Linked DNA regions of Rattus norvegicus. The protein of the gene in region 6 interacts with the protein of the main gene of each other region in a biochemical or structural test. Links are inferred from orthologs where the notes say so. Each region holds a gene or a part of one and is shown on either strand. Other genes may lie near its edges. The genes, in order: Ptprr, Dusp3, Ptprb, Mbp, Dusp1, Mapk3 and Gab2.

Region 1 (4,206 bases), on a different chromosome or scaffold from region 6:
CTTGAATGTGGCTCTCTTTATGAGAGATAAACTCAGATATTCAACAAGTAAAAGGCTTCGAGGCTTCTTGATCTGTGCTCTCCTAGCCACTTATTTTCTTATTACCTAAATCTGTGGGAGCATAGATCAAGAAAGCTATATTTATCTGAGTTCTGATGAAAAGCCCAAACAGTGCTATTAGATAACCGCGATGCATTTTAATCTGATGACAGCTTCTGACCCACAAATTGCTGTTGAAAATTAAAATGAACCCAAAACAAAACTGGCAAGATGACAATTACAACATCAGACCCACAATCTGCTTTGAAAAAATACCATTCCAGAGCACCGTATTACATACAAAAAATAATACAAATTAATGCCACTGAAATCTGAAATATATAGCAAATCACCTGTTGCCTTATGAAACTAAAATTGGCTGGGTAATCTTATTTTTAATCTTTTCTGCAAGTTAAGAGGCCAAAGTGTAGAGAATAGATTTGCTTTGACCTTTGTAATACATGTTTTGGCAAAGCTCCAGGAATCATGGAGGGCTGCAGACTTCTAGGTTTCACCTCTGGTGGGCAGACGTCCTCTCTTTCCCTTATCCCCAGGGTTCATCCATAATAAATTAGAAACCTTTTCTCCAGACCTATAATAAAGTCTGTGTATAATTGTAAGCTTATAACTCCCTGGCATGCATTAATCATAACTGTCAACATTTGTGTATGCATACTTTTTTAAAGAATAATTACATCGATGTGTTTTATCAGATAACTAATTACTTAACTTGGTAGCAATGAAAACTTTTTTTGGCAGTGGTTACTTTTGTCAATTGTACCACTAAATAGTATTGGACATAAAGCAAAAACAGCATCTATGTAATCGTCATATACTTTAACATTTAAATAATTGTATGTGGCTGAGAAGTGATTCATTACAGTTGTTTGCAAATAATTTAATAACCAAGTCATAGCTTCTTCTCCCACTGGTATTCAAGATACCAGAGAACCACTGAAGACTCCACAATGTAATATTGTAATTATAATAATTAACATACATCCTTAATTATAGCTTTATTGTTCCTATACATCGTCTGTTTCTAAATGCATAATGCATTTAAATCGCAATAGCTAGGACAGAAAAGTACTACATTTCACTCCCATTATTGCATACAGGGAAAAAAAGCACTCAGGCTTTTGGAACACTACCGCAAAGATTGCAGTTTCCCAGCTAGTGTGTGTGTGTGTGTGTGTGTGTGTGTGTGTGTGTGTGTGTGTGTGTGTGTTTATGGTCGCAGTAACACAATGCACTCCCACTCGGTGTACTTAGAGAAATGAATGTGTGTGAAAGAAACTCAAAGAAAAGGTCTGCGTTTGCTACAGGGCTACTGCTTGGACAACTGCGGTCACGGCAGGGTTCCTCAAACCTCTCTGCCATGTTTTATTTTGGTTCACATGTGTGAAAATCATACAGGATGCAGTCCAGCAAGCTTATCCACTGTGTTAGAGGAGCCAGGTGATGCTGGATATAAAATTCCTAGGCACTTTATCAGGTTTGCATCCCTAGAACTAGATACTGATTCTTGTGTCCAACCTATTTTTATGTGACTGCACTCCTAGCTATCTTCCATCGAATTTCCCCCTGGGGAGACAGTGATAAACCCTAGGCTTGTAAGTGTGGTTGGGTTTTTCTATTCTGACTGCGGATACTGACCGTGGTGCTGAAATAGAGAAGAGCCTCCCGTTTGAAACCTTTCCTTACTCTTATTGGTTCAGAAAATCCGAGTGACAAGAGCAGGGTCCAAAGCAGCCTGGGGCAGCATTGTTAATAAACCATGCATTTGGCTCTTAGGGGCGGAGATGTAGACCATCAGGTTACAGACAGAGCCCCGTGAGCGCTCACTAAACTGGGAGAGCTTATGGATGTAGCCGCTGCAGTAGAAAGGACTCCATCCAGCAGGATGTCTCATCTCTTTTCCTGTAAAATGTGCAACCAAGTGCAAAGCCTAGAAGCGCAAGCAGGAAAGCTCGATGGAGGGGAAAGCAAATCTATATACACATTTAAAATGTTCACTCTTCGTTATGCAAGATAAAGAAAAAGGAAAGGCTGAATTTAGCCTAAGTTTTCAGCCCCAGCCTTCCAACAGGTGCACTCTCTCACCCCTCAGAGACTATACCAAACCTTCTTCTGCTAGGTAAGCTTCCCCTGGAGTCCTTAAGCATGTGCTGTTTCCCATCTCATCCTCAGCTTCAGCTCTGAACCCCCGCAAGCCCTTACCTGCAGCGTGAAGATTAAGAAGCAGGCACAGTGCAGGGAAACCGACCGCTCTCCTCATAGTGTGTGCATTGAGGGGCGGGGGAGAAACTCCACCGCAATCCCACTCCAGGCAAAGTGCTATTTGAGAGAAACACTGCCAAGAGTCCTTTGATCCCGAGGCATCCGATGACAGGGTCCTCCGCTGGGGTTCACAGAGCAGTCTGTGGCGTGCCTACAGAACCGAGCACTGGCTTCGTCTCCCTAAGGGATGGGGAGACGGGAGAGTAGGATGCTGCGGGAGATGGGGACTCGAGGTTGGTGGGTGTAAAGCGCTCAGAGGAGGTGAGTGTTTGGCCTTCCTGAAGCCCGCAGTCGGTGGTGACAGTGGGGTGGACTCTTGTGCCAGCTTCCAAGCCAGGCAGCGCCTCTGCTGCCTGTGCAGCTAGCAGCAGCCCGATACACCGAGGCACTGAGCATGCCCAGCCCCGGCCCTGGCTAGGGAGTTTCAAATCGAAATTCCACCTCTCCGGGTCTTAGCTGAGGCTGCGAGGGGAACGAGCTCCACGAGAGGGAGGAGGGGCTGGAGGCTAGCGTTAGGGACCCGCGCGTTCCTCCTGAATCTGGGCGTGGGGAGGAGTGGAGTGGGGCGGGAAGAGGCGGGGCCAGGACCACAGAGACCCAAGGAGGGAAGTGGAGGGAGCCACTCATCTGGTTCCTTCCTCGCATTTTGATTCACGCGTGGGGACTCACCTCACTGTTGCAACTAAATGTTTGCGGGCCGACCAACTTCCCAGTATGTTCCACCCTACTGAAGTATAGGCAAGCAGTTAGTCCTGGCCTGCTTGGGCAAGTGTTCTCACTAACAGCCTGCTGTGTAAAGCTAACTGGCTATTCTGAGGGCGCCCCCTACTTGCCAATTAGCTTACCCCAGGCTTCTTCCAATCTTTGTACTTCCATTGGATTCAAGCCCTAAGTCTATGACTGTAGTGATTGAAAATAAGGAGGCCATACTTACAGGGTAGGGAAGTACGCCCATGTAATTTGAAGGAAAGGAATGGTCTTTGGTAGTTTATGGAAATAGTTATCTAAGGTTCTATTATTTAATTAAAAAGTGAATATACTTGGTTATTTTGCTTGCATGCATGTCTGTTCATCAAGCCTGTGCCTCATGCCCTTGGAGGTCTAAAGCGGTTATTGAAAGCCTAGAGCTGAAGTTAGGCATGTTGCAAGCTGCCATGGCCTTCTGGGAAAAGAAGCAGTGCTCTTAACAGCTGAACCACTCCGGCCTTTTTATCTTAACTCTACTTCTGAGCTCTAGCCCTGTATCTTTAACGAGGACCCCACGGTGTGCAGAATATATGTACTTTTACTCTCTTTATCTAAGTTGGTAGGATGGAGATCCTTACCAATCTAGTGACTAATTACTCTAAGCCAAAATGTCCCTCAGCGAGGCTCCCTTCAAGACTGTTCATCCTTATGCTTCTGTCCGCAGGTTTCCCTGCTGCCTTTTGGCAACGGACCTCAGTCAGAACACGGCCACACAAGAGCTTACATAGGTCTAAACTTGCTCTCACGTTTCCAGAAAGCTCTGGGCTAACCTGAGATTATAATGTTCTTTCTCCTCCCCGGTTTTTGAGCACTGACATATATATATATGTATATGTATATGTATGTGTATGTGTATGTGTATGTGTATGTGTATGTGTATGTGTATGTGTATATGTATATGTATGTGTATATGTATATACTATATGTGTGTATGTACATATATATGTATATATTTTTTTCTGAAATGGTTCATTTATCTGTGACGCATATTTCACCAACTGCAGGCTCCTTGAGAAGCTCTGAATTTTGCATTAACTTAAATTGAATAAAGTCGTGCTGGCCAAATCAGAGGTAGTAATAAGTGCTCATTGAATTGAACTGCAGGGCTCATTCAGTGCTTTCTCCCTGCATCCCCTAAGG
Region 2 (3,933 bases), on a different chromosome or scaffold from region 6:
AAAGGCAGCCCCGGAAGGAGGAAAAGGAGGAAGATCTGAACCTGCTGTCCCCTGTGGCTCTTCCTGCCTCATTTCACAACCTCTCCCCTCACCCCAGCCATATACAGTTACCGGCAGTTTCCCCAAATAGACCTGTGGTCCTACGCCCATGCTGTTCCCTCTGCTTCCCTTCCCCACCTTCTGTGTAGGCATTCGCCTCTCATCTTGCAGAGTCCTCTGCGGGATTTCCCCAGCTCCTGACGGTGTGTGTGTTGCCATTATAGTTCCTATGCTGTGAGGGCAGTATAGACAAGCTATAGAGAGTCAGCCATTAGCACGCACCTGGAATACTAGCACTCAGGAGGCCAAGGGAGGAGGAGGTGAGTTTGAGGCTAGCCTGAGTTTCCCCAGTAAGACCCAGATTCAAACAAAAAAAGAGAGAAAAATAGACCCTAGAGTCGGAATGTCTGGGTCTGAATCCAGCCCTACCATCGACCATGCAGGCAACCTTAATCAAGCCACTTAAAACTTCCTGGGCCTCAGTTTTTCCTCTCTGTAAAATTCAGATAGCAGTGCCAACAGCTTGCCGGTGGTCCTGAGTGTTGAAGGGGGCTGTTCTGTTGACAGAGCCTGATTTTTTGGTGTTTGTATCCCAAGGCTTCAGTCTGTGAGTTCTTTGAGTGCTCTGTCCCCTGCTACAGTGCCCGTCACGGGGTAGGTACTGAATAAATGTTCTGTGAATGAGTGAAGAATGGAATTGTCACATGTCAGGCTCCCTGAAGGACCAATCCTGCCCCACTCTGTTGGGCTACAGTTCTGAGGCTCTCTGCAATGTCTTAGCACTCAAGTAGCCCCCCGCAAAATGATGGGAATTGGAAGGTCCTTTGCCTGAGTGGTCAAAGAGGCCCTTTGCTTCCCCCTCACAACATCCAAATTTAAACTGCAGTTTGTACTTGACAAAGCAGTGTCTCCTGCATGGGCCTGTCTACCTGACATGGCAGCCCCCAAGAGAGGATAGAACTGTCCCCTGTGAACAGAGCTTAAATTCTGCAGGACAGGAAAGGCAGAGGGATGGGGGTGTGTGTGCGCGTGTGCCCACGTGGGCCGCTAAGCCAGAGCTAAGAGGAAAGTGCAGTCCAGACTCAGACTCAGCCCTGCTCTGCCTCTCACGCCCTGAGATTGGAAAATGCAGCTCACACAGACTCCCTCACTGGCCTGAGAGGATGTGCCCGGCAGCCCTTCTGACCACGAGTTTCAGGTGAGTAAGGAAGCACAATTCTTGGCCTTAGGTACGAAGTTGATCCTCCCAGCTGAGCACCCCCCACATCAAGGTCAGATTTGCACAGAGGACAAAGGGTGTGTTCTCCTCGGCAGGCATCATTCCTGACAGTATTCCTGAGGAAGCCACTACAGACAAACCCAATAACCTGTTCCTCAGCAAGCAGGCTCCCGAGACTGCCAAGCTCCCTGGCTTCCTGGGTAGTTGGGGTAGGAAGGACTGGGCCAGGTTCCTTAGGACTATGCAGTGACCGAGCTGGAGGCTGACCCCGTGAGTCTGTTTATCCGCTTGCTCAGGAGCAAGAATGCACAGCCAGAATGCTGAATACTGTGCCCCTATATCCCAGTTTTCTAACACTAATCCAGCAGTCAGCAAACGCACCATCATCACCACCACCATTCCAAAGAGTGGACACCATATGGTGTTTGACACATAGTAGGTGCTTCATATAAAGATGAGCAACGCAGTGCACGAAACCTGTCCCCAAGTGTCTGCAACCGGTCCCACCCCCACCCCCCTCCCCGCAGGTTAAGCAGCAGGTCCTAGGTGCACGACAGGAAACACACATGAAAGGCATTGAAAGATCCTTACAACCCCTCAACCACCCAGGGGCCATCGCTTCCTAGTTCACAAAAACAGAGCTTAGGGCTTTGATAAAAGGGGCCTTCGCGCTCATGAAAACCCACTATGGATCTTCCTGCAGTGTGGGTCATGCCAACTTTTCTCTCGGTGTTTTTTTGTTTTTTTTTTTTATAAAAACATAAGAGATCAGTGATATACACATTTCCTAGTGGTGCGATTAGGAGGGATTTTTCAGATGCCTCAGGTCTTCATCATTTTTGATTTGTCCCATCTGAGTCAAACCCTATCTGGAGAAGCCAGGAGAGCCTTGGTTCAGCTACTTCCTCTTCTAGCGCATTTTAGGGTATTTGGATTTCCTGACACGGACAGGAAAAGCTCCACACCCGGATTGTAACGTCATCCCGTTGCCATGGCAACGAAGGCAGACATTCCACGGTGACCTCACTGCAGAACTAGGCAGCTGTCACGTGACCCGCGGCCAAGAGACAGCCCTGCCACCTGTTAAGAGAACGTGGTAGCCTTGACCCCGCCCAAGCCCAAGCCAGAGCTGGTAGTGGCGGAGGTCAGGGCCGGGCACTTTGAGGGGGGGGGGTGAGGGGCGTCTCAGGGCATGCGGAGTCCAGCTCCTCCGCTTCAGACGCGGGGAGTGGGTGTCTACTCCAGGCTGGTCCCGGGCACCCGCTCTTGACTGAGGTCAGCGACCGCACCCAGGGCCCACCCCCACCCCCGCCCCGTGAACCCCTATTCCAGCCCCGAGTAGGCGGGGCGCCCGGGGAGCGGCTGCGGAGTTGCCCCTCCCGGAGACTCACGCGTTGCCCACGTAGACCCTCGGGATGACCTCGTTGCAGGGCTGGCTCGGGAGGCTATAGCAGCCGCTGCCGTCCGAGAGCAGGTCGTTGAGATCTTGCACCGAGAGCTCAAAAGAGCCGGACATGGCGGCGGCGGGGCCCTGCATGCCGGGGCAGGAGCGAGCGAGGGGGAGAAGCCGGGTCAGCGGGGCGGGGCTGCCCAACCGGGAACCGCCCCGTCCCGCCCCGGAGGCGGGCCCACTGGGTGAGGGGAGCTGGCGGCGCGCTACGCAGCTCAGAGGACACGCGCGACCGGCCCACGCGCCGCAGGACCCCGGGGCGGGTCCCTGGCCGAGATGTCGTCACTCCGGTGTCACCCGTACTGGAACGCCGTACCAATGCGGGACGCCTAGGTACACCTGGCGTCTCTCTTTCAGGATAATGGGTACCCCTGGTGTTTGCCGTGAACCCTTCTCGCTGCACACCAGCAGCGTGGGCATCCACTCCCTCACCCCAAACACACATGTCAGAGCACATGTCCCAGCCCACGCCTGATGAACAAACAACTTGCCCACCCCAGGACATGGATCACAAGGTCACAGGAAAGAGCCCTACTCTGGAACACTTCTTTCAGTGTTTGGTGTGAATCAGCATTGAACTTTTTGAAAGTGAAGGTATGGGTCCCCAGGTTTGGCCTCTGACCCCTAGTGGATTACTTAATCTTAGCCTGTTTGCTAGCGACTAAAAGGGAGGAAAGGGTTATACGTCACGATAGCCGTTTGAGTAGCTATACTTTTGGAGATCCGAAAGTGTTTTATAAATCTGTAGCTTTTGAGTGTAAACACAATGTAAGTGGAGAATTCTCACACCTAACCTGTGACGGGTCACAGTCAAAACACAGGTGCACTAAAAATTACCGTACAAAATACAAAACTAAATTCAGGATACGTTTATATGTGAAGCGTTAATGGATTTAGACTTGGATCCATTCCCAAAATATCTGACTCTATGCATTAAACATTAGAAAATCCCAAACACTTCTGTCCCAAGCATTGCAGTAAAGAATATGCAACATCTAATTCTTAAGAATCGCTGGAAAGGTTCCAGAAGCATTCAAGGGGCTGGGGAAGTTCCTGGGCTGGTAAGGTACCTAGCATGCACAAAAGCCTTAGTTCAGTTCCGAGCGCGGAATGAACAGGCCTAGCAGTACCAGAAGCACTTAGTGGCGACTGTGTCGAACACTCACTGGGCCTGCGTCCTTGGCTGTGGGCTAGTGTGGAGGTAAATCTTTCCTGGAGCAGCTGC
Region 3 (3,500 bases), on a different chromosome or scaffold from region 6:
CGGCTCACAAATTTATCTCCAGTGCCGGGGTGTGAGGAAACCGGGGATGCATCATTGACCCTTGAAATTATTTAATTAATTATGCATAACCAATTTGGTACAACTAAATAGGATGTAAAACCATACAGACTGTTAAATACCCACTGAAACTAAAATATCGTTTAGTCTAGACATTGTTCCAGTGTTTGCCATGTTTAAAAATTCCCCTTTACCCGAAAACGGCTGAAAATTTGTCAGAGATGCTTAGGGAAATTCATGTATATTTAGCCCCTTGAATAATTCTGAGAAATATAAGGAAGATGAAATAGACATATCCCTGTGCACACTGGCATCCCTTTTGGAGACTCAGTACCTAAGGCCTTAGCAGCAAAGACATACGTGGATACACATAACTCCAATCCACACCTCCTTCAGGTGCTTTGACAGGACGTGTCAGTTCTTCAGTCACAATCAGTTACGTACAACTACGTGTAACAGTGCAGAACACGTGCCCAATCTGTGGAAGCTGGGTGTCCCCGTGCTTTCTACAAAACTGCACAATGAAATACACTGCTAAAGATTAAGAGTTGAGTGTGGTGATTACATGTCTACAATCCCAAGGCCGGGAAGAAACTAAGGCCAGAGACTCGTGAGGTTTTGAGGTTAGCATAGGCTACAAAGTGAGGGGAAGACCAGACCAAGTTACGTAAAAAACAAATGGACAAACACAATGATAACAACAACAACACAAAAACAAAACAAGCAACAGCAAGACCAAATGAACAGAACTCAGAAAAACACCCTCCATAAAGCAGTGGTGCTTCAAATGAACATCTTTTCTCTCTTGTAAGCTTTTGGGAATTTTTGTGAATTGATGTATGGTTTGGGAGTAGGTGCCTGTCTATGTCATAGAAAGTGAGATAGATAAAAGGTGTTATGATATATTGCTACTTACTGGCAGAATTTGAGAGAGGGGTGGGGGAAGAGAAAGAGAGAAAACAAAATTGATGGGTAGCCAAGAGGATATTCATGTATTGGAAAATTGTGCTTGGGAAATAGTAAGGACTCTAAAAATAAATGATCTTTGTCTATAGGATGTATAGGATGGTCTTAAACTCATAGAAGTCCTCCTGTCTCAGCTTCATAAGCACAGGGTTTGTAAGTGTGGGCAACACTGTTCAGCTCAATCGTTACCGTATTTGTTATTTTTATCATTCTCCTGTTGATCACTCATTACGCCCAGAGTTAACAGGGTTCATTGTCAGAGGATCCTCTGAGACAGAACTGAGTATCTAACATTTCATTTTCTACACTTCAAACTTTCTCATGGAAGGAGCCCTCTCACGACCTTTAAGAAGTCAGTTCTGTGTCTTCGAGTTCATTAACTCGTCATTACTCACTGTCAGCCTCTCTCACCACCACGGCGAAGTATTTAACAGCCCCGTTGGTGTCGCTGAACCAGCTGCAGTTGACAGTGAAGTTGATGGAAGATTTGCTGATCAGCACATCCTTCTCATTCACTCGGATATGTGGAGGCGGCGGCGGAGGGCCTGGAAAAGAGGGGAAGTCGGCAAGAAGGGTCATGGGGCCCTTTCTCCTCTGAACAGGTCAGAGAGGTGGAGGTCTATAGTCACCTCGGCCTCTGTGCTCTACCGAGGTAATGTGTGATTACAGCCTCCATGAGGAAATCCTCCTCCTCGCCTGGGCAGAAGTAGGCAGAGGAAATGCTTTGCCAGTGGTGCATTAGGTGCAATGGAAGGGGCGTCTCCTCTGCAGGATTCCCTCAGGTTGTAGCATCACATGGTTTGAAAGCCCCACTGGTTATAGATTAACTAGATCAGGCAAATGGCACACTTAAACCCCAACTCCTTCAGGCACTTTAACCTTGATGGTGTTTGTTAATGCAAAACTTTATCCAGAGAAATGTCCTCATTTTCCTGGAGTATTTGATCCTCTTCTCCAAGTAATAACAAGACAGGATTGTGTGCATGTGAACTGTGTGCAAGCGAATGGGATTGGTGGAAATAACTGAGAGAGATTCGAAGCCCTCTACCCCTGTGTGACAAGGGGTCCCACGCAGACCTTGGGAAACACTTACGGTCTATCATGGTGATGGTGCTGTCTTCAACCACCTCGCTGGTCACACCGGCCGACTGCACCTTGATGGACACCAGGTACCTCCTATGAGGCACTAACATCATGATGTTGAGCAGTGATTTTTCTTTCTCCAGCTTTCTGGAAAACTCAATTTCTTGGGTGTCCATTTTTCGACATTCAATGCTGTAGCCATCGAAGTCGGAGTCAGGTGGTATCCAAGAGCAGGCAATGGCCGTCGAGTTCTGAGGGCGGCAATGCAGGTTTTGGATCTTGTCTGGTTCTGTGGGAGCAAGGGGTAAGAGACACAGGTCAGCCTTATGCAAGACATTTCCTCCAGCACCTTTGGGGTTAACTGTCTAGCTGTAAACAGACCCTTCTCACAACTTCTTGAATTACTTTCTGAGGAAAGTATTTCTAAGGATCATCATGGAAAATTTCTGGTTGCCAGACTACATGTTGAAAAAAGAAAGTGTCAGCCAGGCTGTGGTGGTGCACATCTTTAATCCCAGTGCTCAGGGGGCAGAGGCAGGTGGATTTGTGAGTTTGAGGCCAGAGTGGTCCATAGGGCAAGTTCCAGGAAAGCCAGGGTTACTGTCTTGAAAAACCAACCACCAACCAACCAACCAACCAACCAACCAACCAACCAACCAACCAATCAAACAAGTCAACCAAACAAAAAAAAACAAACAAGCAAACAAACAAACAAACAAAACAAAACAAAAAAACCCAACCAATCAACCAACCAACCAAAACCAACCAGCTTACCAACAAATAAAACAGTCCATCTAATGTTAAATGGGACCACTGAGATGTCTCAACAGGTAAAGGTATTTGCCACCGAGCCTAATGGCCAGAGTTCAATCCCTGGAATCTACATGATTATAAAAAGACAAAGGACTTCTGCAAGTTGTCCTCTGACATCCCCATACTTGTGCACACACATGAATACTCATGAGAACACACACAGAGGTAAGTAGGTAGATAAGTAAATGTAAAAGAAAGAGTTAAAAATGCAGCCGGGAATGTAGCTAGGCTAGCTTAGCATATGTGTGACCATGTGTTCGCTCTTCAACACTGTCAACCCAAAACAACGCAACAATAAAAAAGCCTTACTGAAAGTGAAAGTACTATGCCTTCAGAAAATCGACAGCATGCTTTGAAAAGCAAGCGCATGTGAGGACACCAGAACCAGCCGGACAGAAGGCAAGGTAAGCCTCCAGCCTGACTTCACCAACACTTTTGTATAAATGACTTTCCACCTCTACAACCCACCTGCGCATGAGGGAATCAAGAATCTCTCTAGCTATTGAAGAGTTATTGTAATGATGGAATGGTGGAACACTGGTTGGCAGAGTCATTACTCAACACATGTGAACTCTGCTCAAGATGAAATGACTGTAGTGACTTGTGATCCTCCTCTGCGT
Region 4 (3,500 bases), on a different chromosome or scaffold from region 6:
GAATCGAAACATCTCAGGCTAACTTACCTTTCCTTGGGATGGAGGGGGTGTACGAGGTGTCACCTGGAAGACAGAGAGGTGGGGGCTGCAGTGACTCACTTCCCCGCAGGAAGCCCCACGCCCTCCCAGAGGGTCCTATTAGTTCATGTCCACAGACATGACTCCAGTCCATCAGGGGTCAGAAACTAGTACATGTCTCCATATCCTGCCCTTCCTGGGGCTGGAAATCGTGCATCTATTGACGCTCAGTTTCAGCTTGATGCCCCATTCAGAGAGAAACGTCTCTGTGTGGGCCTGTGAGAGCAGGAGACCATGGAGGCCAGCAGGGGCCGAAGCTATAGCGATAGCCAGTTATGAGCCACCCACATGAGTGATGGGAACTGAACTCTGATCCTTTGCAAGAGCCGTGTGCTGGCTGGCTTTATGTCAACCTGACACAGGACAGAATCATTTGAGAAAGGGGAATTTTATCTGAGAAGACGTCTCCGTAAGATTTGCATACAGATCTCTAGTGTGTTTTCTGAACTAATGATTGCTCAGAGAGGGCCCAGGCCATTGTGGGTGGGACCATCCCTGAGGGGTGGTTCTGGGGTATTTAAGAAAGCATGAGGACCAAGTCAGTCAGCAGCCTCTGCTCATGGCTTCTGCTTCAGTTTCTGCCTCTGGGTTCATGCTCTGAGTTCCTTCAATGAGGGACTGTGACAAGGAAAGGACAGAAGTCCTTTTCCCCTCAAGTCGCCTTTGGTCATGGTGTCTCACCACAGCAATAGAAGGTCTAAGACACGTAGTATGCTCTCTTAATGGCCGAGCGATCACTCCAGCTCCTCACCATTAGTTTTAAGAAAAAACAATTTTCTTATGGTTGTTTGGATGAGAGTGGCCCCCAAAGGCTCATATATGTTAATGTTTAGTGGCCAGTTGGCGGAACTATTAGGAGGTGTGGCCTTATTGGAAGAGGTGTGCCACTCAGGTGGGCTCTGTCTGTCTGTCTATTATCTATCTATGTATCTATCTATTGTTTATCTATGTATCTATCTATTGTTTATCTTTGTATCTATATACCTATTTATGTATCTATTATCTCTCTATCATTTATTTATCACATCTATCTATCCATCTAACAATCATCTATCTGTGTATCTACCTCTATGTCCCCTCCTATGTCTACCTCATGGTTATGTCTGAAGATGTGATTTCTCAGCTACTGCCCCAGCACTATCCACACCCCCTCACCATGATGGCCATTGACTCATCCTCTGAACCATGACCTCCAAATAACCTCTTTCTTCTCTGTATGTGGCCTTGCTCATGCTGTCTTATCATGACAATAGAGAGGTAACTAGGACATTTATTTTGTGGAAGAGTTTTCCGCTGTATACAGAAGTTGTAATGAAATCATGCATTTCCCCTACACCCGTAGGGCATTCCCACACATCTGCTCAGCTTCTGCTGTTTAGCATTGGCATTAATGTGATTTGCTTGTTCCAAGTGACAGACAAAGATTGGGGGCATTAACACCATTGTCACCACCACCATCATCACCACCACCACCACCATCACCATCATCATCATCACCATCATCATCATCTGGATATATCAGCGTTCACTCTATATGGCATGCATCCTATGTATATGGACAAATGCAATGTGTCTTATGTCACAATGCTGGTCTAAAATGCCCTGCATTTCTTTGTTCATACCTCCTGGGCAATGCTGATCCCTGCCATTTTCATTTCTCAGGGTTACAAAGTCTATATTTTTAATTAAGCATCTGCTAGCTGTCTGGTTTCAGGAAAATTAAATCCTTTGAGGGTGGTGTTCCTCAGGCCATCAGCAGCACCCTGAGAAGGATCCAAGGAGGCTAGGTGTGAGATAAGACCTCGCTTGGATCTGCAGCCTTCCCCTTGATGATTTCTTGGTTCCCCTTGTGCACGTCACTTACAATGTTCTTGAAGAAGTGGACTACTGGGTTTTCATCTTGGGTCCTCTGCGACTTCTGGGGCAGGGAGCCGTAGTGGGTAGTTCTTGTGTGTGAGTCCTGAAAGAGAGAAGCATGCAGCTGAGGATGGAGAGTTCTAGGTAGGTGAGCCAGGTCTGTCCTTCTGAGGAAGGTCTCTACTCCGTGCTTCCTGGGGACTGGGGAGCTGCTGGTGTGGCAGCAGACCCCTGAGTCAGGCACGGGGCCTGGAGGAGCATGCTTGATGTGTCACTGCAGTTTGCCGGGTGGCTACTCTATTTCTGAAGCCACGACAGGCAGAGGGAGTCTATTCATTAGCTTTGGGGTTGCAGCATCATGAGCTAGCCTCTTTGCCTCATGTCACCGGGGTTCTGAGTCTGCCGATATAGTACTATCACTTTCCCATCTTGAGTCAGATGGTGTTACACCTGCAGTGAGTGTCCACCTGGGCCGAGGAGAATTCATAACCCACAGAACCAGAGGGTTCTAGGCCAGTGAATGTAACCAATAAGATATTCTAGCAAGCACATGGCCAGTGACTTATCCCAAGTGAGCGCAAGCTTTCAGGAGAGACTGAGAAGGCTCTGCTTTCTCCTGATGCTGTCCTCCTGGCTGTCGCTCTGTACCTGTGCTCGACACAGGGGATGAGCACAGCACCACAGAAACTGTGTACATCTAACAGTTTGTTAGAATCCTTGAGAAGACACTGTGAAGGGACCTCACAACATCACTGTATTCAGAGAGCAACAGACAGGGAATTCTGGAGGAGACTGCATGAGTTTCCTCATCTCTCCCTCTGCTGTTCCCAGCACACACTCCGAATCACCCCTGTGCTCAGAGAAGCCTCAGTCAAACAACCACAAGGACCACAGAAGTGATATACATAGTCCTCCGCAGGGGTCACAGCCATGTGACTGGGATGGCAATCCAGTCACTTGAAGCATCCTGTCTCTCCATGTTCGGGTTGGGAGAGCCCTCTGGGGAGTTTGCCACAAGAAAGGCAAGGGCTCTCTCGAAAGCCGGGAGGGTGTGTGCGATGGGTGTGGCTCCGTGATGAGAACTAGAGTGGCACAGGTGCCATCGGCATTGTGATTTGCTTGTTCCAAGTGATAGAAAAAGATCGGGGCATTAACATCATCATTGTCACCATCATCACCACCACCACCACCACCATCATCATCACCATCATCACCATCATCACCATCATCATCATCTGGATATATCATCGTTCACTCTATGTGGCATGCAGCCAATGTATATGGACAAATGCAATGTGTCTTAGGTCACAATGCTGGTCTAAAACACCCCGCATTTCTTTGTTCATCCCCCCAGTCCTCCTGGGCGACACTGATCCCTGCCATTTTCATTTCATTTGCCTAGCACTCAGCCTCCCTCCGGGTCAGTTACATCGCAATCCTCGCGATGAACTAAACAGTAACATGGCTTTACCCTTTGCGTTGTAGGTCCCGAGGCTGTGGACAAATGTTTACTCCGTCCCCTCACATAGAAAGCACCAGACAGAGCCTGTGTTAGTAGTTGGAAG
Region 5 (4,124 bases), on a different chromosome or scaffold from region 6:
TCTTTTAGGATCGTTGCTCAAAGGGATGTAAAAACGCCCTTTAAAAATAACGTGTCCCGAATTTCCAGAAGAATCTAGGCAGAACGCAAGTGCTAAGAGAGGCCAAAGCGGACGTTGCTGGGCAAAGACACATGGTGGCCAGTAAAACACCTCCCCTTGCAAAGAGGAAGAAACCGCAGAATGTTCCTGACTCGGCACCCCTGCGGAGTGGTGCAATGTTTATGTTTGTGTATCCAACTCGGTGGTGTTGGCAGCAGGCTCACGGCCTACCCCGTAGTCATGGAGTTTTGGGGAAGGACACAGACATCGTTGGGGTCTTCCCAGGTGTGATGGGTACAGTTTGTTCCACAGAGTGGAGGATTCAAAGCTCTCAGTCCTGAGTCATTGGTGTGCTCAGCTTCTGTTCAGTAGAGTTGAAGAGCTAGGCATTAGTGAGGCGGGGACAGGAGGGTCTCTGTGAGTTCAAGGCCAGCCAGGGCTAAACAGCAAGACCTCTCTCAAACAAAACAAAAGAAAGTTGTGTTGGGGGCAGAGGAGCAGTGGCTGGCAGCATCTTCTGATGCCTCGCGACGACAACGTGCTTGACGGTCCTTGGGCGGCGCTGTGGAGCTCTATCCAAGTCCCCCCCCCCCCCCTCCCCGAAAATGTCAAACCTGGGCTCCACACCCGAATTTGCAACCCTCCTCCCTTTGCTCCAAGTAAGTCCTCTAGGGACCATCGTAGTTAAGATAACACTTCGGTGTGGGGGTTGTGGGGGGAGCTAACTGGAGACACTCCTTTGTCAGCGTAAAACTTTTAAAGTGAGATTCAAGAAGGACGTCTGGACTCTCGCTGTTTGTCCTCAGTATAGCCAGAGGGTTATAGACCGAGTTGGTCATCTCTCACTATCCACTTCCCTTTCCCGCTCTGCTCCCGCGCCCACCACCCCAGCAGCCAGAGCGGGGCCAACTGAGACCGTGATCCCAGGAGTGGCCGCGCGCTCGTTAGAGACCCGGGCAGGGGAGCAGGGCAGGTGTCCCCGGGCGCGTCCTCAGGCCGAGCCTTCTGGCCACCCCGGCTGGCAGCGCGCCGTCCTGCCTGCGAGCTCGGAGGGCAGGAGGGTGGGGGCCCGGCCCGGAGCCAGCGCTCAAAGCCGACCCGCTCCCAGGCCGATGACGTCTTTGCTTTTGGCTTTGGTGGCGCCAAGCCCGGCAGGGCGGGTGACGTCACCACCCGGTCACGTGTCCGCCATTCAAACAAACAAACCGTTCCCCCCCTCCTCCTGTGCCGCGCCCGGGACCGCCCCCAAGAGGCCACATAAAACCGCGCTCCTCCGAACCAGCGCGCAGCAAAGGACTGGCGGGCGGGACGCGCGGTGAAGCCAGATTAGGATCAGCGAGCACTTGAGGATTTAGGGCCACAAAAAACCGCACAAGATCGACAGACTATTTCTGGAGAGCTGCAGAACGGGCACGCTGGGGTCGCTGGTGCTGGCCATGGTGATGGAGGTGGGCATCCTGGACGCCGGGGGGCTGCGCGCGCTGCTGCGAGAGCGCGCCGCTCAGTGCCTGCTTCTGGATTGTCGCTCCTTCTTCGCCTTCAACGCCGGCCACATCGTGGGCTCAGTGAACGTGCGCTTCAGCACCATCGTGCGGCGCCGCGCCAAGGGCGCCATGGGCCTGGAGCATATCGTGCCGAACACCGAACTGCGCGGCCGCCTGCTGGCCGGAGCCTATCACGCCGTAGTGCTGCTGGACGAACGCAGCGCCGCCCTGGACGGCGCCAAGCGCGACGGCACCCTGGCCCTGGCCGCGGGCGCGCTCTGCCGAGAAGCGCGCTCCACTCAAGTCTTCTTCCTCCAAGGTACGCGCAGGACTTCTGCCATCAGCTAAGGAAGGGGGGCGTCCCACCTGGAGTGTGAGAGCGCCTGTGTCCAGGGGCTTGTCACTGGCTTTGTTTGACTCCGGGAACAAAGACTTCCTAAACCTTCCTTGTAAACTCGCAGCCCCTGGTGGGTGGGTGACTTGTCTCCAGGTACTGCGTCGGCGGCGGCGTTAATGGGAAAATATGTACCTTTGTATTCTCAGGAGGATATGAAGCGTTTTCGGCTTCCTGCCCTGAGCTGTGCAGCAAACAGTCCACCCCCATGGGGCTCAGCCTCCCGCTGAGTACTAGTGTGCCTGACAGTGCAGAATCCGGATGCAGCTCCTGTAGCACCCCTCTCTACGACCAGGTTAGTAGGAGTCCGGGGTCTACGAGAGGCTGGGAGGTGGCAGAACTGGCAGAGCTCTGGGAAGCTTGTGCCAGGGAGAATAGAGAAAGCGGCTGTAGCTTTATTTATACTAGCGGGGACACGAGGATCTTCATTTCACCATGAAGCAATTGGATGGAGCTGAATTCTCCCAGTTGCTGGCACGGAAGAGCTTGTTGGCTCTGTCCCGGCCAACCGGCTCGATTCTTTACTATTATTTTCATATGTCAACAGCAGTACTGAGGTCACCGCTTTTCAGAAACTCCCTTTTTCAGTCGGGAGTTTTTGTGGGCGTGGGTCCTGGCGTGTTCACGCCGAACAAGCTTGATGAACGCTGGATTGTTTTGGATTTCAGGGGGGCCCAGTGGAGATCCTGTCCTTCCTGTACCTGGGCAGTGCTTACCATGCTTCCCGGAAAGATATGCTCGACGCCTTGGGTATCACTGCTTTGATCAACGTCTCGGCCAATTGTCCTAACCACTTTGAGGGTCACTACCAGTACAAGAGCATCCCTGTGGAGGACAACCACAAGGCAGACATTAGCTCCTGGTTCAACGAGGCGATTGACTTTATAGGTAAGTGGGATAGATGTCTGGGATCTCTGCGTTCTTCTCTACTGTAGCTGCTGAGCCCAACCTTCCTCCTCACTGAGACTTGAATAGTTGGACTGACTGTCTTGTCCAGGATTATACGTGCAGACACCCAATCTGGGTTTAAATCCCTTGCTATCCTTTGCACAGCATATGCACAGTCCCTATGATAGCATGAGGGCGTCTTTGATCAGGGCTCGGCTGTCCTCCTGAGTTTTTGAGTAAGCCATAACTTTGTTTTTCAGACTCCATCAAGGATGCTGGAGGAAGGGTGTTTGTGCACTGCCAGGCCGGCATCTCCAGGTCAGCCACCATCTGCCTTGCTTACCTCATGAGGACTAACCGAGTGAAGCTGGACGAGGCCTTTGAGTTCGTGAAGCAGAGGCGGAGTATTATCTCCCCCAACTTCAGCTTCATGGGCCAGCTGCTGCAATTTGAGTCCCAAGTACTGGCCCCTCACTGTTCTGCAGAAGCTGGGAGCCCGGCCATGGCTGTCCTTGACCGGGGCACCTCTACTACAACGGTCTTCAACTTCCCTGTCTCCATCCCTGTTCACCCCACGAACAGTGCCCTGAACTACCTTCAAAGCCCCATCACAACCTCTCCGAGCTGCTGAAGGGCCAGGGGAGGTGTGGAGTTTCACGTGCCACCGGGACGACACTCCTCCCATGGGAGGAGCAATGCAATAACTCTGGGAGAGGCTCATGTGAGCTGGTCCTTATTTATTTAACACCCCCCCCCCCAAACACCTCCCGAGTTCCACTGAGTTCCCAAGCAGTCATAACAATGACTTGACCGCAAGACATTTGCTGAACTCAGCCCGTTCGGGACCAATATATTGTGGGTACATCGAGCCCCTCTGACAAAACAGGGCAGAAGGGAAAGGACTCTGTTTGAGCCAGTTTCTTCCCTTGCCTGTTTTTTCTAGAAACTTCGTGCTTGACATACCTACCAGTATTAACCATTCCCGATGACATACACGTTTGAGAGTTTTACCTTATTTATTTTTGTGTGGGTGGGTGGTCTGCCCTCACAAATGTCATTGTCTACTCATAGAAGAACGAAATACCTCACTTTTTGTGTTTGCGTACTGTACTATCTTGTAAATAGACCCAGAGCAGGCTTTCAGCACTGATGGACGAAGCCAGTGTTGGTTTGTTTGTAGCTTTTAGCTATCAACAGTTGTATGTTTGTTTATTTATGATCTGAAGTAATATATTTCTTCTTCTGAGAAGACATTTTGTTACTAGGATGACTTTTTTTTTATACAGCAGAATAAATTATGACATTTCTATTGAGTTCTC
Region 6 (4,287 bases):
TTTATACTTGAAGATAAAACAAAGACTAAACACAAACAAATGTCATCTGGCTTATCTTTGGAAGAGTAATCAGGAGCTGGGCAGAGTACGTCACTCCTACAATCTCAGCACTTGAAGCAGAGGCCAGAGGCTTGCCTAGAAGTTTAAAGCCAGCCAGGTCTACAGAGTTAGCCTGAGGCCAACCAGGGATACACAGTGACACTTTCTCAAAAAATGAAGTCTGAACTGTCTTCCACAGAAGACATGTGAGAGCTGGGGCTGGTGGCACCCAGGATCTCTATGAGTTCAGGGCTAGCCTGGTCTACATAGGGAGACCCTTTCTCAAAAAGAAGAAGAGAGAACAAGCATATGCAGATACACACACATGGACCAACCCTGCCGCTTTACAAATGTGGAAGTCCGGAGGTGCAGAGACCTGCTGAAGGTCATGCAACAAGACAGGAGTAGTCGATTTCCTGTGGTCAGAGCTGCAGAGGCTGCAGAACAAATCCTGGGATCGGGAGGGGTGGGTAGGGAAGAGGCCATGGGTGCTACAGTCTACTAGCAATGGCGCCAAGCAGGAAGTACATGTGGACAATGAACTAAATGTCTGAACTAGGCAAGCAGTGTCAAGCAAGGGCAACAAGGGCTGGACTACCTTTCCTGGTCAAGGTACAAGGCCGCAGGTAATCAGGGTGGGGCTCTCAGAAGAGTGGGAAGGCTCCAAGAAAGCCAACTGGGGAAGAAGAGGAAGCAACAAACAGGAACAGCTGAATTTAGGCTTTCTTCTATAGGCAGACTCTCAGGGCCCCTCGTCCTTCCTTGAGCCCCTGGCTAGACCAGGAGTGCAAAGGCGTGGCTCCGCCCTGTGAGTCTAGGGTCTTCAGGTTCCTCCTCTTAACAATGCAAGGTGGTGTGAAAGCCTCCACCCTCTCCACGTTGGAGAAAGTATCGCCCCTCCCCCACAGAAGGCCCAGCAAAACACAGAGCCTCAGTTTCCTCATCTTAGAAATGGACGCGGTAAAGCTCATCACACAGGGAAGCTAAAAGGTTGAATTAGAACCAAAGCGCTAGGCATGCCCAATGCTGGTTTTCTTCCTCGCTTTCAATCCAGTGTGAGGTCTCTAAAGAATCGTGAGTCTGTTGAGCAAGAAAGGGCTGTGGGCAGAGACTGGGTCATGTCACAGAACTGCAGATGTCAGAAGACAAAGCTCCCATAGAGATGGTTTGCCCAGCATTCTCCCCTCCCCACACACCATACTGGGGCACAGAGCAGAAAAGGATGTGTTCAAGGCCACTCCACTTGGCTGCAACAGACCAGGATCCAAGGCCTGCCAGGGTGCTCTTCTGCTCCGTAGACTCTCAGCTAAAAAGTTACTTTGCTGGGTTTTTAAGTTTTTTGGTTTTTTTTGGTTTTTTTTTTTTTTTTTTTTTTTGAGGGTGGCACAACAGACGACAACAGAAAGCAAAGCCAAGCTCCTTAGCCTCGCTCTGGAGCTGTGGCTAAAGGATACACATCTCTCATGGCTTCCAGGGTGGGTGCTCTGAGGATGTCTCGGATGCCTATGACATTCTCATGGCGGAATCGCAGCAAGATCTGGATTTCTCTCAGCGTGCGCTGACAGTAGGTTTGATGCTCGAAGGGGCTGATCTTCTTGATAGCCACTCTGGTCTTGCGCACGTGGTCATATGCTGAGCTGAGAGAGCCAGAGAGATGTGTGGCCTTACAAAGGGGGAATCCAGGCCTGGTGGCCCCACCCAGGCCTTGGCAGGGACCGGAGAGAGCAGGAGAGGGTTCTGGCCAAGTGTAAACAATGCTGGCTCCTTCCTGCTGTGAAGGCCTGGAATCTCCAGGGGGAAAGCTGGGGACCAGCCAGGCAGCCTTTCAGTGACTTCACAAACAGAGGAAGAGAGTGGCCACTCACTGACTTCCTTTCTCCTGGACCCTCTTACATTGTAGTTGCCCTCACCCTCCTCCCCTTTCCTGAGCTGGACTCTCTCAATCCAAGACAGGTCCAGGGGATGGGAGTTAAATGGAGAGAGTGGATGAAACCCAGAGGATTCAGTAATGGGACAGGGGAAGAGATAAGAAGGGGTAGGTCTGTCTCCCGGTGAGGTTCCTGGGTCAGAGCTGTTCCCATAGGAACAAAGGCCCAGAGCACAGAGTGGGGCAGCGAGAACTCACAAACCTGTATCCCACAAAATAAGGCACATTCTAGAGACCCCTCCCTACTTTGGGCCTCTGGCAAGGCCAGGGGCAGGGGTGCAAAGGTTTGCCCCACCCTGAGCTTTGCTCTGCTCTCTCAAACTCTGTCACAACCTCATCAGGGGGGAACCAAGGCTCCCACTACCTGCTTATGGGTCTCTCACTCCCCCTTCACCAAGAATAGTCATCCTCTTAGCTCCACCTGTATCTCTAGGGTCCCCCAGGTGCCCCTCCCTTAACAATACAAGGTGGCTTCCAAGCCTCCAACCCCCCTTCCCGGAGAAAGTAGCTCCTGGTCCCCCAGAAGTCACTGCACGATCCCTCCCCTGCGACACTCCCCGGACCCCATGTCCCGGGCACGCACCTGCTGTCCCCGCTCTGAAGCCCCCTCCTGGGACACCCCCTCACCTGACCATGCCGTACGCGCCCTCGCCGATGTACTGCAGCTGCGTGTAGCGTGGGCCCACGTCGAATGGCTGCCCCTTCACCACCTCCACCTCCCCGGGGACCACCGGGACGACCCCAGCAGTTCCCCTGGGCTCCCCGCCCCCGCCCCCCGGAGCCGCCGCCGCCGCCGCCATCTCCACTCCTCCCGCCTCCCCCCGCTGCCCCGCCCGCGGCCCCGCCCCTCCCTGCCGCCCTGTCACCGCGGGGCCGCGCGCCAGGCTCCGCCCCCGCCCCCGCGCGCCCCGCCCCCGCGCCTGCCCGGCGAGCCTGCGCGGGCCCGCGATGTCACGTGGTCTACTGAGAGCGCGCCCGGCTTTCCCGCCTAGTTACGCTGTTCCTTCCTTGCCTTGGCCACTAGGGTACTTTAGTCTGCCTAGAGAGTACTGCAGCCCCAGGGGCCAGTGGCCCTGAGTGATGCTGAGGGAACCCACCCCTAAACTTTGGAGACCTGCCTCTCACTTTTTGTTTCATTTACGCAGACAGTATTAATCCAGGCCAGCCCCAAAGGTTCTATGTGGTGGAGGTTGGCCACATCCTCCTACCTTTAGGCCTGAGCCATCATGCAGATTCTGGATGTTAGGCAAGAATCCTATCACTGAGCCACATTTCCATCTTCTCTCTCTCTTTTTTTTTCTTTTTTTCTCTTCCTTCCTTCGTTTCTTCCTTCCTTCCTTCCTTCCTTCCTTCCTTCCTTCCTTCCTTTCTTTCTTTCTTCCTTTTTCTAAGAGGGTCTCTTGACATGGAACTGGCTGTCCTGGAACCCACTATGTAGACCAGGCTGGCCTCAGCATACTAACTCCCCTGTGCTGGGATTAAAGACTGTATCACAATGCCCAGATTCCATAATTTCTTATTCGTTTATTTGCCACATTTATTAATTTTGTGTGTTGGGGCATGAGTATGTCACAGAGCCTGTGTGGAGATCAGAGGATATCAGATTCCTTCTGCTGTGCAGGTCCTAGGTATCCGACTTGGGCTGTCAGACTTGGTAGGAAGTACCCACGTTTGCTGGGCCCCCCTGTGGTGGTGGTGGGCTTATCCTAAGTGTTATAGTGAGGAAGCAGTCTGAAGGGTGGTGGATGGCAGGCAGCACTAGAAAGCTGTGAAGTCAGGTATGCTCCTGTGAAGAGGCAGGCCTGCAGTGGGCTCAGGTGTGTTCTGAGACCCAGTGTTATTGCCTGGAGGACATGCAACCCAGCCCACTTCATATGAGAAGGAGGGAAAGGGTGATAACTGTGAACAAAGATAACTAAATCAATTAAAATGTACAATCTGTTTCTCTCTCTCTCTCTCTCTCTCTCTTACACACACACAGACACACACACAGACACACACAGACACAGATACACACACACACACACACACACACACACACACACACGTGCGCGTGCCAAACAGCAAAATCAAGACCCTGGATCGAGGCTAGTAAGATGGTTAGGTAAGCAAAGATGTTACCATAAGAATGCTAAAAATTTTTTTTAAAGATTTATTTATTTCATGTATGTGAGTACACTGTAGCTGTCTTCAGACACACCAGAAGAGGGCATCAGATCCCATTACAGTTGGTTGTGAGCCACCATGTGGTTGCTGGGAATTGAACTCAGGACCTCTGGAAGAGCAGTCAGTGCTCTTAACCGCTGAACCATCTCTCCAGC
Region 7 (4,158 bases), about 30 Mb from region 6:
CTGCCTCTCCAGTCGATGCATCAACCACACAGCTACCCTTGTTAAAGTGGATTACTTGCAACCTCCCAAAGAAACTGGAGGGGAACCTACCTTTTAATGCTGTTTGGGAAGGTGCTAAAAAAAAAAAAAAAAAAAAAAAAAAAAACTCTTACCAAAGGTTTTGGTTTTGGTTTTGGTTTTCTTTTTTCCTCCACCTCCCCCCTGGAGCACTGGTGCTAAGTGAATGCTTCCTGGTCCTTTATCTCAACCCTCTCAGCACAAGGCAGTGAGAAAGAGCTCTCTATATTCATATTTATATAGGAAAGATCTCACTGCAAGTGAATGGGTGCAAACTCTGGAAATTTTTTTATCACAATTTCTTATTCTTCTATACCTCCTTGTTTTCCAATTCACCTCCTTGTTTTCCAATTCTGCAAAACTTAAAATTTCCTTTTACAGGATTCGTTTTTTCCAGAGGCAACATGGGAGAGCGCCAGCTGGACTTTGTTTCTCAGCAATAAGATTCAGTTCCCCACCCCCACCCCCTTTGATCTACAGACATTACAGCAATCCATCATTCTGAAAAAGAAAAAAGAAAAAAAACCGGGGGAGAGGATCCTCTCCCCTCCTCCCCAAACACCTGGATTAGAAACGACTGCATTGTATGAGCTGTGGGACTTCAGGCTATCTGTAAAATGGGTACAATTACTGCCTATCCAATTTGTAGAGTTGTGAAGATAATCGCTGTGAAGGACTCCCCGTGCACAGTAGGTCTGTTTACTTCTACTCTGGCCTAGAGATGTGAGAGTTAGCTTACAGTGAAGCAGGACACCCATTTCAGCCAGAATCCGACTTATTGAAACCTGAAACTGTGGGACTGGACAGGAAACTGGAGCAGCCCTTGGATCTCTTTCCTACTCTTACACGACCCTGAGGAGGGGTGGGGTGGGGAGGGGGTGAGAATGGGCTCGCTGTTCGATCTAGGGTGGGCAGCCTCTAGCCTTCCCTCGCCCTAGCACCAGCCCCACCTAGAGGTCTTCACGACCCCTCCTGCAGCTCCAGGCTTAGAGGAGGGGAAAAAAAAAAAAACAACCACCGCCAAGATCCTGAGGGCGCACTGGGTGGCGGCAGCTCTCCTCGCCTCAAGGCCTCCTTGCCTGTGGTGTCCAGAGCCTGGGTAGTTAGCCTCTACGCCGACCGCCCTCAGGGACCGCGCGGGGCTGTGGGCGTGGCGAGAGCCCGCTTGCTGAGGCGCCCTGGTGGGGCTGGCTGAGAGAGCGCGCGCGCGCGGCCGCAGGACGGGGGGGGGGGGTTCGAGCGCGCGCAGGCAGCCGAGCCCGCGCGCCTCGCCGCCTCGTCCTCGCCCGGGGCTGCCCGGCCCCTCCCCTCCCCCGCGAGCTGCGCACCGGCAGCCGGCTGACCCAGCAGCCCGCGCCCGCGCCCTTGTCCGCGCGAGCCGGCGGCGGGCTCCAGTCAGCGGGCGACATGAGCGGCGGCGGCGACGACGTGGTGTGTACCGGCTGGCTGAGGAAATCGCCTCCGGAAAAGAAGTTGAGGCGCTATGTGAGTGAGGCGAGCGGGCGCGGCCGGGCGGGCGGGCGGACGGCCGGGGGCTGTCCCGCGGCCTCTGAGGTGGGGGCGCTGAGAGAGGCCGTACGCGGCGAGCCGAGGCCCCGCGGCCTCAGAGGGCGAGAGCGGCGGGGCGCGAGTGGGGCGCCTCACACCTGTCACAGGTGCGCCGCCGAGGGGCGGGGCGCAGGTCGGGGCCGCGGCTCGCCGCCCGCCTCCCCGGGAACTCCTCGCGGTGCCGAAGTTTGTAACGATTGTTCCGGCGATCCGGAGAGTAAACGCCCGGGGCTGAAGGGGCAGAGTCACCCCGAGCGGAAGGGTAGGCTGAGGGGCCGCGCGGCCCCGGGCCCACAAAGGGCGAGGCGCCGCGCCCCTTTCCGGGTCCCTTTCTCTGTCCGCCCCTCCCTGGTGGCTGCCGGCTTCCTTCCAGTCCGCGGCCACTGCATCACGGGCAGCGTCAGCGGCATGTGCAGCGCTTGTATTAAGTGACTCATTTGTTTGTCCCCCTTCTTTCCCATTATTTCGAATGTCTCTCACATACCCCCACCCCCACCCCCACACACACCGCGGCCCTCCGCCCCACCGGGTGACACTGCAGTTTGGTCCTCTATAACTGGCCAGAGTTTTGTGTCATGCAGCCCTTGGTGTCTGGGGTCTGAAGACATGGTTCTGAATTGCTAGGTGGTGCTAGCTGTGTTTACTGAAATTGGTGGGACGGGCTGTCCCCTCTACGTGAGAAACTGGCAACTGAGGTCGGGGCACCCCCTTCTTGTTTAGCGAAGTCAGAGAACAAAATGGTGCCAGGATCGGAGATTGGAGTAGTCTGATGAGTTTAGAAATGGAAAGTCAGTTAAAGGAGTGCAGGTTCTCCCATCTTCTCACTCCTCACTTGCCAAGAAACGTCCTTGTTATGCTGACTGGGAGTGCTGGACTCAGAAATCACCCCCACAGCCTGGAAGTGAGCGGTTGCTTCCAGCTGCAGTGCATCAAGGGAGCTCCCAACAGACCCTGCCCTCTGTCAGCTGCACTAGTGGCTGGCCATGGGGGATAGAAGCTTACCAGAGTTTCCTGTCTCTGCTCCCCAGATCAGAATCAAGGGACTTCTGGCCTCTGGACTGAGGAAGTGACATTCTGTTTTTCAAAGGAAGTGTTGTTGTTGGGGAGTGCAAGTGTGTCAATGAAACCGGGCTTTGACTTAGGTCACTTGCTTGAGGGGAGGGGGGAGGAGGAGAGGCAGACAGGGAATCTTAGGATTTAGTGCATGGTTTTTGAAAGTGAACAGAGATTTGGCATACAGTAATATAGTAGGGGTGTTTAAGCTTTAAAGCTCATTTGGGTTTTTTTTTATGTGAGTAAAATATTTTAATTACTAAGAGCTTTTTGTTTTGTTTTGTTTTGTTCTGTTGCCTGTTGCTGTAGCCTAGGCTTGTACTGCCAGCACTTACATTTGGGAAGCAAGAGACAGGAGGAGCAGAGGTTCAAAGCCAGCCTATTTCTGTTGGTCTAGGCCAGCTTAAGCTACATGAGACCCTGTCTCTCATTTGCATGCCAAACAATACTCACTCTCTCTCACTCTCTCTCTCTCTCTCTCTCTCTCTCAAATCATGCATGTGCACAACTCCAAGATGGCTTAATGGGTAAAAGCAGTGCCCTCAAACCTGTCAACTTAAATTTGGTTCCCTGGAACCCACATAAAGATGGAAGGAGAGTTCTGACCTACACACTCATGTTGTGTGCACTCACACAATCTCTCTCACATACACAGAAATAGTTAAGAAAATGGGGGGGGGGGCTTTGTCGGGGATGGGGGTGGTCGTTCATGCCTGTAGATGTGTCCAGCATCTGGAAGATGGAGGCAGGAGTATCAATAGTTCAAGATCATCCTTGACTGCTTAGTGAGCTCAAGGCCAACCCAGACTACATGACCAGCCACTGAAATAGTGTCCAGTTTTAAAAAGTAAAATAAAACGTTCAGATTAGAAAGGAATGTAGCATAGTTGGTAGAATGTTTTCTTAGCGGACAAGATGTTCTGGGTTTTATCCAAGAACATCATAAACATTGCTGGGTGGCACAAGCCTGTAATCCCAGCATTCCAAGGAGGAGAGAGGAGGATTAGAAGTTCAGCTCATCCTTGAATTTGAGAAAACAAACAAAAATATATAGAGATCACTGGAACTTTGTTTTTTAAATATCTTGTAAAAAAGTTGATACTGTTGCTACTTTGACTCATGACTGCATCAACCCTTACCATGAAGATTCTCTTTATGACCTAGCTCTTGAGTATTTTTTAGAACAACTTTAGCTCAAAAATAGCCAAGTTTGGAGGCTTGTGTCAAACACAGATTTTACCCATTTAAACTCCTTTAGCAGTCTTGGGTCCTCTGGTGACCTCAGCCTCCCTCTCGAACTGCACATTCCCTTTGGCTCCAGCCCGGAAGGCACCTCCCACTGTAGAAAGAAGTTCAGCCCTCCTACTTGAAACAGCCAATTGAAATAACTTGTGCTTCCAGTACAGCCTCCTTGATCCACTACATTTCTGGAGGAAAGAGTTGGCTTTTACACACACACACACACACACACACACACACACACACACACACATGCACACA

The links.
Region 1: the proteins of Mapk3 (region 6) and Ptprr form a complex in vitro, tested with the Homo sapiens proteins (2 studies listed by BioGRID). The link is inferred for Rattus norvegicus from reciprocal best matches to the Homo sapiens genes MAPK3 and PTPRR.
Region 2: of the proteins of Mapk3 (region 6) and Dusp3, one has a biochemical effect on the other in vitro, tested with the Homo sapiens proteins (2 studies listed by BioGRID and IntAct). The link is inferred for Rattus norvegicus from reciprocal best matches to the Homo sapiens genes MAPK3 and DUSP3.
Region 3: of the proteins of Mapk3 (region 6) and Ptprb, one has a biochemical effect on the other in vitro, tested with the Homo sapiens proteins (2 studies listed by IntAct). The link is inferred for Rattus norvegicus from reciprocal best matches to the Homo sapiens genes MAPK3 and PTPRB.
Region 4: of the proteins of Mapk3 (region 6) and Mbp, one has a biochemical effect on the other in vitro, tested with the Homo sapiens proteins (5 studies listed by BioGRID). The link is inferred for Rattus norvegicus from reciprocal best matches to the Homo sapiens genes MAPK3 and MBP.
Region 5: of the proteins of Mapk3 (region 6) and Dusp1, one has a biochemical effect on the other in vitro, tested with the Homo sapiens proteins (2 studies listed by BioGRID and IntAct). The link is inferred for Rattus norvegicus from reciprocal best matches to the Homo sapiens genes MAPK3 and DUSP1.
Region 7: of the proteins of Mapk3 (region 6) and Gab2, one has a biochemical effect on the other in vitro, tested with the Homo sapiens proteins (2 studies listed by BioGRID). The link is inferred for Rattus norvegicus from reciprocal best matches to the Homo sapiens genes MAPK3 and GAB2.

What each region holds. Positions count from the first base shown.
Region 1 is NC_086025.1:53,547,236-53,551,441, reverse strand, and holds the start of Ptprr (receptor-type tyrosine-protein phosphatase R isoform 1 precursor), read right to left. Parts: upstream 2,801-4,206; 5' UTR 2,318-2,800; coding exon 2,260-2,317; intron 1-2,259. UniProt on the Homo sapiens protein: Sequesters mitogen-activated protein kinases (MAPKs) such as MAPK1, MAPK3 and MAPK14 in the cytoplasm in an inactive form.
Region 2 is NC_086028.1:87,429,236-87,433,168, forward strand, and holds the start of Dusp3 (dual specificity protein phosphatase 3), read right to left. Parts: upstream 2,801-3,933; 5' UTR 2,796-2,800; coding exon 2,650-2,795; intron 2,486-2,649; exon of another isoform or gene 2,043-2,485; coding exon of another isoform or gene 2,041-2,042; intron 1-2,040. UniProt on the Homo sapiens protein: Shows activity both for tyrosine-protein phosphate and serine-protein phosphate, but displays a strong preference toward phosphotyrosines. Specifically dephosphorylates and inactivates ERK1 and ERK2.
Region 3 is NC_086025.1:53,880,902-53,884,401, reverse strand, and holds part of Ptprb (receptor-type tyrosine-protein phosphatase beta precursor), read right to left. Parts: intron 2,357-3,500; coding exon 2,078-2,356; intron 1,530-2,077; coding exon 1,380-1,529; intron 1-1,379. UniProt on the Homo sapiens protein: Plays an important role in blood vessel remodeling and angiogenesis. Not necessary for the initial formation of blood vessels, but is essential for their maintenance and remodeling. Can induce dephosphorylation of TEK/TIE2, CDH5/VE-cadherin and KDR/VEGFR-2.
Region 4 is NC_086036.1:78,227,245-78,230,744, reverse strand, and holds part of Mbp (myelin basic protein), read right to left. Parts: intron 2,039-3,500; coding exon 1,943-2,038; intron 64-1,942; coding exon 28-63; intron 1-27. UniProt on the Homo sapiens protein: The classic group of MBP isoforms (isoform 4-isoform 14) are with PLP the most abundant protein components of the myelin membrane in the CNS. They have a role in both its formation and stabilization.
Region 5 is NC_086028.1:17,183,529-17,187,652, forward strand, and holds Dusp1 (dual specificity protein phosphatase 1), read left to right. Parts: upstream 1-1,324; 5' UTR 1,325-1,475; coding exon 1,476-1,842; intron 1,843-2,066; coding exon 2,067-2,212; intron 2,213-2,585; coding exon 2,586-2,805; intron 2,806-3,065; coding exon 3,066-3,436; 3' UTR 3,437-4,118; downstream 4,119-4,124. UniProt on the Homo sapiens protein: Dual specificity phosphatase that dephosphorylates MAP kinase MAPK1/ERK2 on both 'Thr-183' and 'Tyr-185', regulating its activity during the meiotic cell cycle.
Region 6 is NC_086019.1:190,795,707-190,799,993, reverse strand, and holds the start of Mapk3 (mitogen-activated protein kinase 3), read right to left. Parts: upstream 2,801-4,287; 5' UTR 2,767-2,800; coding exon 2,594-2,766; intron 1,677-2,593; coding exon 1,494-1,676; intron 1-1,493.
Region 7 is NC_086019.1:160,839,708-160,843,865, forward strand, and holds the start of Gab2 (GRB2-associated-binding protein 2), read left to right. Parts: upstream 1-1,358; 5' UTR 1,359-1,464; coding exon 1,465-1,542; intron 1,543-4,158. UniProt on the Homo sapiens protein: Adapter protein which acts downstream of several membrane receptors including cytokine, antigen, hormone, cell matrix and growth factor receptors to regulate multiple signaling pathways.